Linked DNA regions of Macaca mulatta. The protein of the gene in region 2 purifies or fractionates together with the protein of the main gene of each other region. This does not show direct contact. Links are inferred from orthologs where the notes say so. Each region holds a gene or a part of one and is shown on either strand. Other genes may lie near its edges. The genes, in order: KLC4 and KIF5B.

Region 1 (3,822 bases), on a different chromosome or scaffold from region 2:
TGGCTCACTGCAACCTCAGCCTCCTAGGTTCAAGCAATTCTCCTGTCTCAGCCTCCCAAGTAGCTGGGACTACAGGTGCATGCTGCCACACCTGGCTAATTTTTGTATTATTAGTAGAGAAAGGGTTTCACCTTGTTGGTCAGGCTGGTTTCAAACTCCTGACCTCAGGTGATCCGACCACCTTGGTCTCCCAAAGTGCCGGAATTACAGGAGTGAGCCACAGCACTGGGCCGCTTTTTATTTTGTTGAGATGGAGTCTTGCTGTGTTGCGCAGGCTGGAGTGCAATGGTGTGATCTTGGCTCACTGTAACCTCCACCCCCCAGATTCAAATGATTCTCCTGCCTCAGCCTCCAAATAGTTGGGATTACAGGCATATGCCACCATGCCCGGCTAATTTTATATATATATTTTTAGTAGAGATGGGGTTTCACCATGTTGGCCAGGCTGGTCTGAAACTCCTGACCTCAGGTGATCCACCTGCCTTGGCCTCCCAAAGTGCTGGAATTACAGGCACGAGCCACTGTGCCCAGTCTCTTTCTCTTACACACAAATAAATCTGGTCTGTCATTTCTTTTTTTTGAGACAGAGTTTCACTCTTGTTGCCCAGGCTGGAGTGCAGTGGCATGATCTCAATCTCGATCTCCCCTCACTGCAACCTCCACCTTCTGGTTTCAAGAGATTCTCCTGCCTCAGCCTCCCGAGTAGCTGGGATTACAAGCGCCCGCCACCACGCCCAGCTAATTTTTGTATTTTTAGTAGACACGGGGTTTCACAATGTCAGGATGGTCTTGAACTCCTGACCTCGTGATTCGCCTGTCTTGGCCTCCCAAAGTGCTGGGATTACAGGCGTGAGCCACCATGCCCAACCCTTGTGATTTCTTATAATACTGTACTTTAATAAAGTGTCCACCTATATTTTCAGTGTTTTTTTAAAGAGACAGGTGCTCACTCTGCTATACAGACTGGAGTGCAGTGGCATGATCATAGCTCACTGTAACCTCAAACTCCTGAACTCAAGCGATCCTTCCACCCTAGACTCCCAAGTAGCTGGGACTACAGGTGCACGCCACGGTGCCCAGTAAATTTTTAAATTTTTGTAGAGACAGGGCCTCGCTATGTTGCCCAGGTTAGTCTCCCATACTTGGCCTCAAGTGATCTCCTGCCTTGGCCTCCCAAAGTGCTGGGATCACATGCATGACATGAGCCACTGAACCCAGCCGCTGTCTCATTTTTCTAGTACTTCTCGTATGGAATGGCTTACTGGTCTTCTAAATCCAGAATCATTCATTATATATCAGACCACTTTGCAATTTTTTTTTTTTTTTTTTTTGAGATGGGGTCTCGCCCCGTTGCCCAGGCTGGAGTGCAATGGCGAGATCTCAGCTCACTGCAACCTTCACCTCCTGGGTGATTCTCCTGCCTCAGCCACCCAAGTAGCTGTGATTTACAGGCATGTGGCACCACACCCGACTAATTTTTGTACTTTTAGTAGAGACTGAGTTTCACCATGTTGGTCAGGCAGGTCTCAAACTCCTGACCCTGTGATCTACCTGCCTCAGCCTCCCAAAGTGTTGGGATTACAGGCGTGAGCCACTGCGCCCAGGCCACTTTGCTATTTCTTTTAACAAAGTTGTACTCAATACAGTTACTGTTGTTTTGTATTTTTATCTTATTATATTACATTGTATATATTGTTCTTATAAATTACTTTTTTTCTTTTATATTTACTAAAGTAGCATATTAACTTTTTTAGAAATCATATATGGATTTACCTATGACTTATCTATGAATTAAGTTCAAGCAAAATACTCGTTATAAAAAGGAGTCACTGAGTCTCAGAGAATTAAGCACTAGGATCACTGGACAGTGCCTGGAAGAAAGGACTTCTTACTCCTCCTTTCTCATCACCCTTAGTGAGTGGACTGAGGGCAGCAGATGGATGAGCTAAGAGAGGCCAAAACAGCAATGGTATGGGGTGTGGGGTGTGGAGTGTGGGGCAGGGAGGGCAAGGAATACTGACAGCAGGATGATCAGGGCCCAGGGTGCTCTCCCGGATGCTGAGGGCATCATTCAGCAGGTGGGCAGCTTCCTTATACTTATTCTGGTCCCTGGAAGAAGACAAAAGTGACAGGAGTTACCCTGAACTCTGCCTGCAAGCCTTCTTCTTCCCTCTTTCCCTTTGGGAGGACTGAGTACATTTAAGGACTGGGGACCTCCATGAGGAGACAGGAAGCCTGGTGTGGACAGTAAGGGGGCTTCACTGACATACCAGAATGCAGGGCACTGCCATCGCAAGAGGAGGCCACAAGTTATAGGAAGTGAGAGGACAGGGGGAAGAGAGGGAGAGAGCACGCCCCAAAAGAGATTAGAGGAACAGTGATCCCAAAGAATGAGCAAATGCTTAGGTATGGGAAAAGTGAGAGTTCTGGCACATTAAGAAGCACCCGAGTGGGGTGTATCTGGGAGGCCCAACAGGCAGGACAGGTACCCTGTAAAGAGGAAAAATGAAAGCCAAAGGAGGACCAAGGTGGGAATGTAGGGGAAGATCTGGGCACTGGAGGAGGGAAGTCCTCACCGATACACCAAAGCAAGGATGTTGAGCATGGTGGCAACATCAGGGTGGCCACGGCCTGATGTGCGCTCCAGGTCCTCCAGTGCCTGCTTACAGAGTGGCACGGCCACCTCATAGCGACCTTGGGCTGCGTACTGGATCACCAGGTTGTGCAACGTCCGCAACCTTGCTGGGATCTCATATCCACCCTGCTGAGCTGCTGCAGTACCTTGACCACGGGACACTAAACCATCACAGAAAATAAACAAAGGACTCTTCCTCTCTCCTTTGCTGTCTGCCCTTCCGTTCCCCATTGCACGTCTTGTTCCATACCTATGCCTGCCCCAACATGGGCTCTCAATATTAGACCTGCCTCAAGCACTATTCTTTTATTCACTCCCTTGACCTGTGCCCATCACAACCTCAGTTATTCACCCAGTAATTCATTCATTCAACAAACATTTATTTAATAAATATGAACCAAGGGATGTCCCAGGAGTACAAAGGTAAGAAAGACCTGGTTCTGGCCAGGTGCAGTGGCTCACACCTGTAATCCCAGCACTTTGGGAGGCCGAGGCAGGTGGATCATGAGGTCAGGAGTTCGAGACCAGCCTGGCCAATATGGTGAAACCCTGTCTCTACTAAAAATACAAAAATTAGCCGGGTGTGGTGGTGGACACCTGTAGTTTCAGCTACTCGGGAGGCTGAGGCAGGAGAATCACTTGAATCCAGGAGGTGGAGGTTGTAGTGAGCCGAGATTGGCCCACTGCACTCTAGCCTGCGAGACAGATTGAGACTGTCTCAAAAAAAAAAAAAAAAAAAAAACAAAAAAAAAAACCTGGTTCTTTCCCTTGAGGGGCTCATGGTCTCCCCATCTCAGGTTTATTCTCCCACTAGACTGTGAACTCCTTACTGGTGAGACCTATGCCATTTCCATCTCAGTACTCCTAGTGCCTAGCACAGTACCTGGCACATACTCAGTGTTTAATACATGTTTGTGGCCGGGCGCGGTGGCTCACGCCTGTAATCCCAGCACTTTGGGAGGCCGAGGCGGGCGGATCACAAGGTCAGGAGATTGAGACCACGGTGAAACCCCGTCTCTACTAAAAATACAAAAAATTAGCCGGGCGCGGTGGCGGGCGCCTGTAGTCCCAGCTACTCAGGAGGCTGAGGCAGGAGAATGGCGGGAACCCAGGAGGCGGAGCTTGCAGTGAGCCGAGATCGCGCCACTGCACTCCAGCCTGGGCGACAGAGCGAGACTCCGTCTCAA
Region 2 (3,822 bases):
AATTGAGCCACTGTACTCCAGCCTGGGTGACAGAGTGAGACTCAGTCTCAGAAAAAAAAAAAAAAAGCCACACAACATAGATATTTAGATACTTTATTTTATTTTATTTTTTTTTAGAAGAAGCAGGTTTGCTTATATAATGAGTTTAAACTCAGTCTCTGTTTTCTAATAGTTACAACATCAACATTATGCATTAGCCAGTTTTAGAAGTTTCCTCTTTTCTAATGTAGCAAAGGGGACTAAGATTAATGAACTACAAATTTACATTTAAAGCGGTTATTTTCAAGAGTACCTACAAACTACAGATAAAATTTGATGTCTCTCTAATCAAACTCTTAAGAGTAGTACTCAAGAAATGGTGGTACCTAAGAGTAAATGCTTGGCAAATAAGATCATGAAGCTTTTCATGTTCTTTTTTCTTTTTTACTGGTTGTTGATGACCTCTGAAAATTTTAGAAAATTTAAAGAAAATTTTTGTAATTTTGTTCCGTTCTTTTGAAATCTTATGTATAGGTTAGTAAAACTGGAGCTGAAGGTGCTGTGCTGGATGAAGCTAAAAACATCAACAAGTCACTTTCTGCTCTTGGAAATGTCATTTCTGCTTTGGCTGAGGGTAGTGTGAGTATACATGTCTTCTATCTCCCTGTTACCTTACGGGGCATTATTTAAATATAGGTGTATATGTGTGCATGGGTGTTAGAGAGGGAGAGAGAGAGATTCACTGTGTTTCAATCAGTATGTGTAAGTTGTCTTTTGGGAGTTTATAATATTGTATGTATATCCTAGTTCACATTTTAATATCAAATAGTTAACTGAAATAACCTTTTAATTTATTTAAAGTAGCATATTTTTATAACATTTTATTGTACAGAAACCCACTGGTCTTGTTTTCTTTCTTTCTTTTTGTATGCAGACATATGTTCCATATCGAGATAGTAAAATGACAAGAATCCTTCAAGATTCATTAGGTGGCAACTGTAGAACCACTATTGTAATTTGCTGCTCTCCATCATCATACAATGAATCTGAAACAAAATCTACACTCTTATTTGGCCAAAGGTTTGTTGTTAAGAAAGTACAAAACCTAAATGTAGATAGACCTTTTGTTTATAAAATGTAGGAAAATGTGAGCTGTTATTCCAACCTGTACATATTGTTTTGTGCTAGACACACTCAATTTGAATTGATGACAGATAATACAAGATGGGCCTGTTTTTGATACTGCTTGGTTTAAGTTTTAGTACACATTAAAGTCAGATGTAATTTTAGTCAAATTTATGTGACAAGCTGTAATTTGGTATTAAAGAAAATAAGCATTTGACTCAAATAATGTTGTAAAAGCCTGGCAAACATAATCCTGTGTTAGGCCTGTAGACATGCATGACAGGTTAACATCTATATGAGTTGATTAGGAAAATCAGTAATGATGATTCCGTCTTTGACTTTCAACAGTAATTTCTTAATTCAGCCTTGCAAACAAATTGGAAAAATATAGGTCTTTGTCTTTTATTTTTAGTGATTTTTTTTTTTAAGCTATTGACGGATTTTGGAGCAGACTCAAATTTAGTTGGGTTGTAAATAACCTCATAGGTTGTGTCTTTTAGTATTTAGTCTAAGAGATTATTGGAGAAGAATAAATTTCTTAGCCATATATACATATATTCCATATAGATAAAATTAAAAATAATTTCAGTCTCATCCCTTTTTTCCTCCAATTACATCTCTTAGGGCCAAAACAATTAAGAACACAGTTTGTGTCAATGTGGAATTAACTGCAGAACAGTGGAAAAAGAAGTATGAAAAAGAAAAAGAAAAAAATAAGATCCTGCGGAACACCATTCAGTGGCTTGAAAATGAACTCAACAGATGGCGTAATGGTAATAACTTAAGAATTTGTCATCTTAAGTTTGTTAAATACAGATTTAGAGCATAGAAACGTAGAAATAGTTCAGCAAAATCAGTAAGTGACTAGATCAAGAAATTTAATAGACATCGAAATAATTATTTAAAATCTAATAGAAATCCTGGAGCTGAAAAATAAAATGAGCAAAATGCAGTAGAGACCATCAGTAGTAGAATTAATTGACCAGAAGAAAGCATCTGAACTTGAAGACAGATTATTTGAAAATAACACAATCAGAGAATAAAAAGTTTAAAAGAACGACGCTGAGTGCAGTGGCTTATGCCTGTAATCCCAGCACTTTGGGAAGCCGAGGTGGGCAGGTCACCTGAGGTCAGGAGTTAGAGACCAGCCTGGCCAACATGGTGAAACCCCATCTCAACTGAAAAGACCAAAATTAGCCTGGCATGGTGCTGGGCAGCTGTAATCCCAGCTAATGAGAAGTCTGAGGCAATAGAATTGGTTGAACCCTGGAGGCAGAGGTTGCAGTGAGCCTAGATTGCACCACTGTACTCCAGCCAGGGTGACAGATTGAGACTCCGTCTCCAAAAAAAAAAAAATTTTTTTGAAGGAATGAAATTGAAATTAGTTTTAGACATGTTGTTTCTTATTAACCACTTTATCATATTTTAGGGGAGACGGTGCCTATTGATGAACAGTTTGACAAAGAGAAAGCCAATTTGGAAGCTTTCACAGTAGATAAAGATATTGCTATTACCAATGATAAACCAGCAACCACAATTGGAGTTATGGGAAATTTTACTGATGCTGAAAGAAGAAAGTGTGAAGAAGAAATTGCCAAATTATACAAACAGCTTGATGACAAGGTAGGTATTTCCCGATTTAGGTCTGTTTTATATTAGGATACTATTGACATGAGTGTTTTTATTTTCTAATTTTTCATATTTTAGTGCTGTGGGCACTTAGGATCTTTATACATATTCCTTGATTTCTGTTAATCTTGTAAAAATTATTAACAAAATAAGTCATAATTTCTATGTGGAAACTGTATGAGGGTGTATCTTTTTTTCCCCTCTTTTTAAGCTGAAAGAATTTTATAAGGCAGCAGTCCCCAGCCTTATTGGCACCAGGGACTGGTTTCAGGGAAGACAATTTTTCCATGGACCAGGGTGGGGGAGATGGTTTTGGGATGAAACTTCCACCTTGGATTATCAGGCATTAGATTCTCATAAGGAACCTGTAACCTAGATCTCTTGCATGCACAGTTCGTAATAGAGTTCACACTCTTAATGATATTCTAATGCCGCTGTTCTGTCAGAAGGCGGAGCTTAAGTGGCAATGCTTGCTGCACACCTCCTGCTGTGCGTCCCGGGTCCTAACAGGCTTCCAGTACTGCTCTGTGGCCTGGGGACTGGGGGACCCCTGTTCTAATGAAAACTTGGCATTGGGTCATTGGGAGCCTTAGTGATACCAACTGTTAGAATCAGGGCTCTGAAGATTCCAATAAAAGATGATGTAGGAGATTAAGGGAAACACAATAGAGTGGAAATACTATCTTCCTGCTTTGCATATGGAAGTAAAGTCAATAGTATGAATAATAGCAAATTAAGAACATAAGAATGGAAGGCAAGAAGAAGAGCAGTAAAGAAATTAGGCTGGGTGCGGTGGCTGAAGCCTGTAATCCCAGCACTTTGGGAGGCCGAGATGGGCGGATCACGAGGTCAAGAGATCGAGACCATCCTGGCTAACACGGTGAAACCCCGTCTCTACTAAAAAAGTACAAAAAACTAGCGGGGCATGGTGGCGGGCACCTGTAGTCCCAGCTACTTGGGAGGCTGAGGCAGGAGAATGGCGTGAACCCGGGAGGCCGAGCTTGCAGTGAGCTGAGATCCGGCCATTGCACTCCAGCCTGGGCGACAGAGAAAGACTCAAAAAAAAAAAAAAAAATTAGAAGAAATTTT

Evidence for each region.
Region 1: the proteins of KIF5B (region 2) and KLC4 purify together in Homo sapiens (affinity purification with mass spectrometry; 4 studies listed by BioGRID and IntAct, with this or other methods). This does not show direct contact. The link is inferred for Macaca mulatta from reciprocal best matches to the Homo sapiens genes KIF5B and KLC4.

What each region holds. Positions count from the first base shown.
Region 1 is NC_133409.1:139,060,372-139,064,193, forward strand, and holds part of KLC4 (kinesin light chain 4), read right to left. Parts: intron 2,797-3,822; coding exon 2,577-2,796; intron 2,110-2,576; coding exon 2,022-2,109; intron 1-2,021.
Region 2 is NC_133414.1:33,394,515-33,398,336, reverse strand, and holds part of KIF5B (kinesin-1 heavy chain), read left to right. Parts: intron 1-513; coding exon 514-618; intron 619-913; coding exon 914-1,059; intron 1,060-1,728; coding exon 1,729-1,877; intron 1,878-2,533; coding exon 2,534-2,727; intron 2,728-3,822. UniProt on the Homo sapiens protein: Microtubule-dependent motor required for normal distribution of mitochondria and lysosomes. Can induce formation of neurite-like membrane protrusions in non-neuronal cells in a ZFYVE27-dependent manner.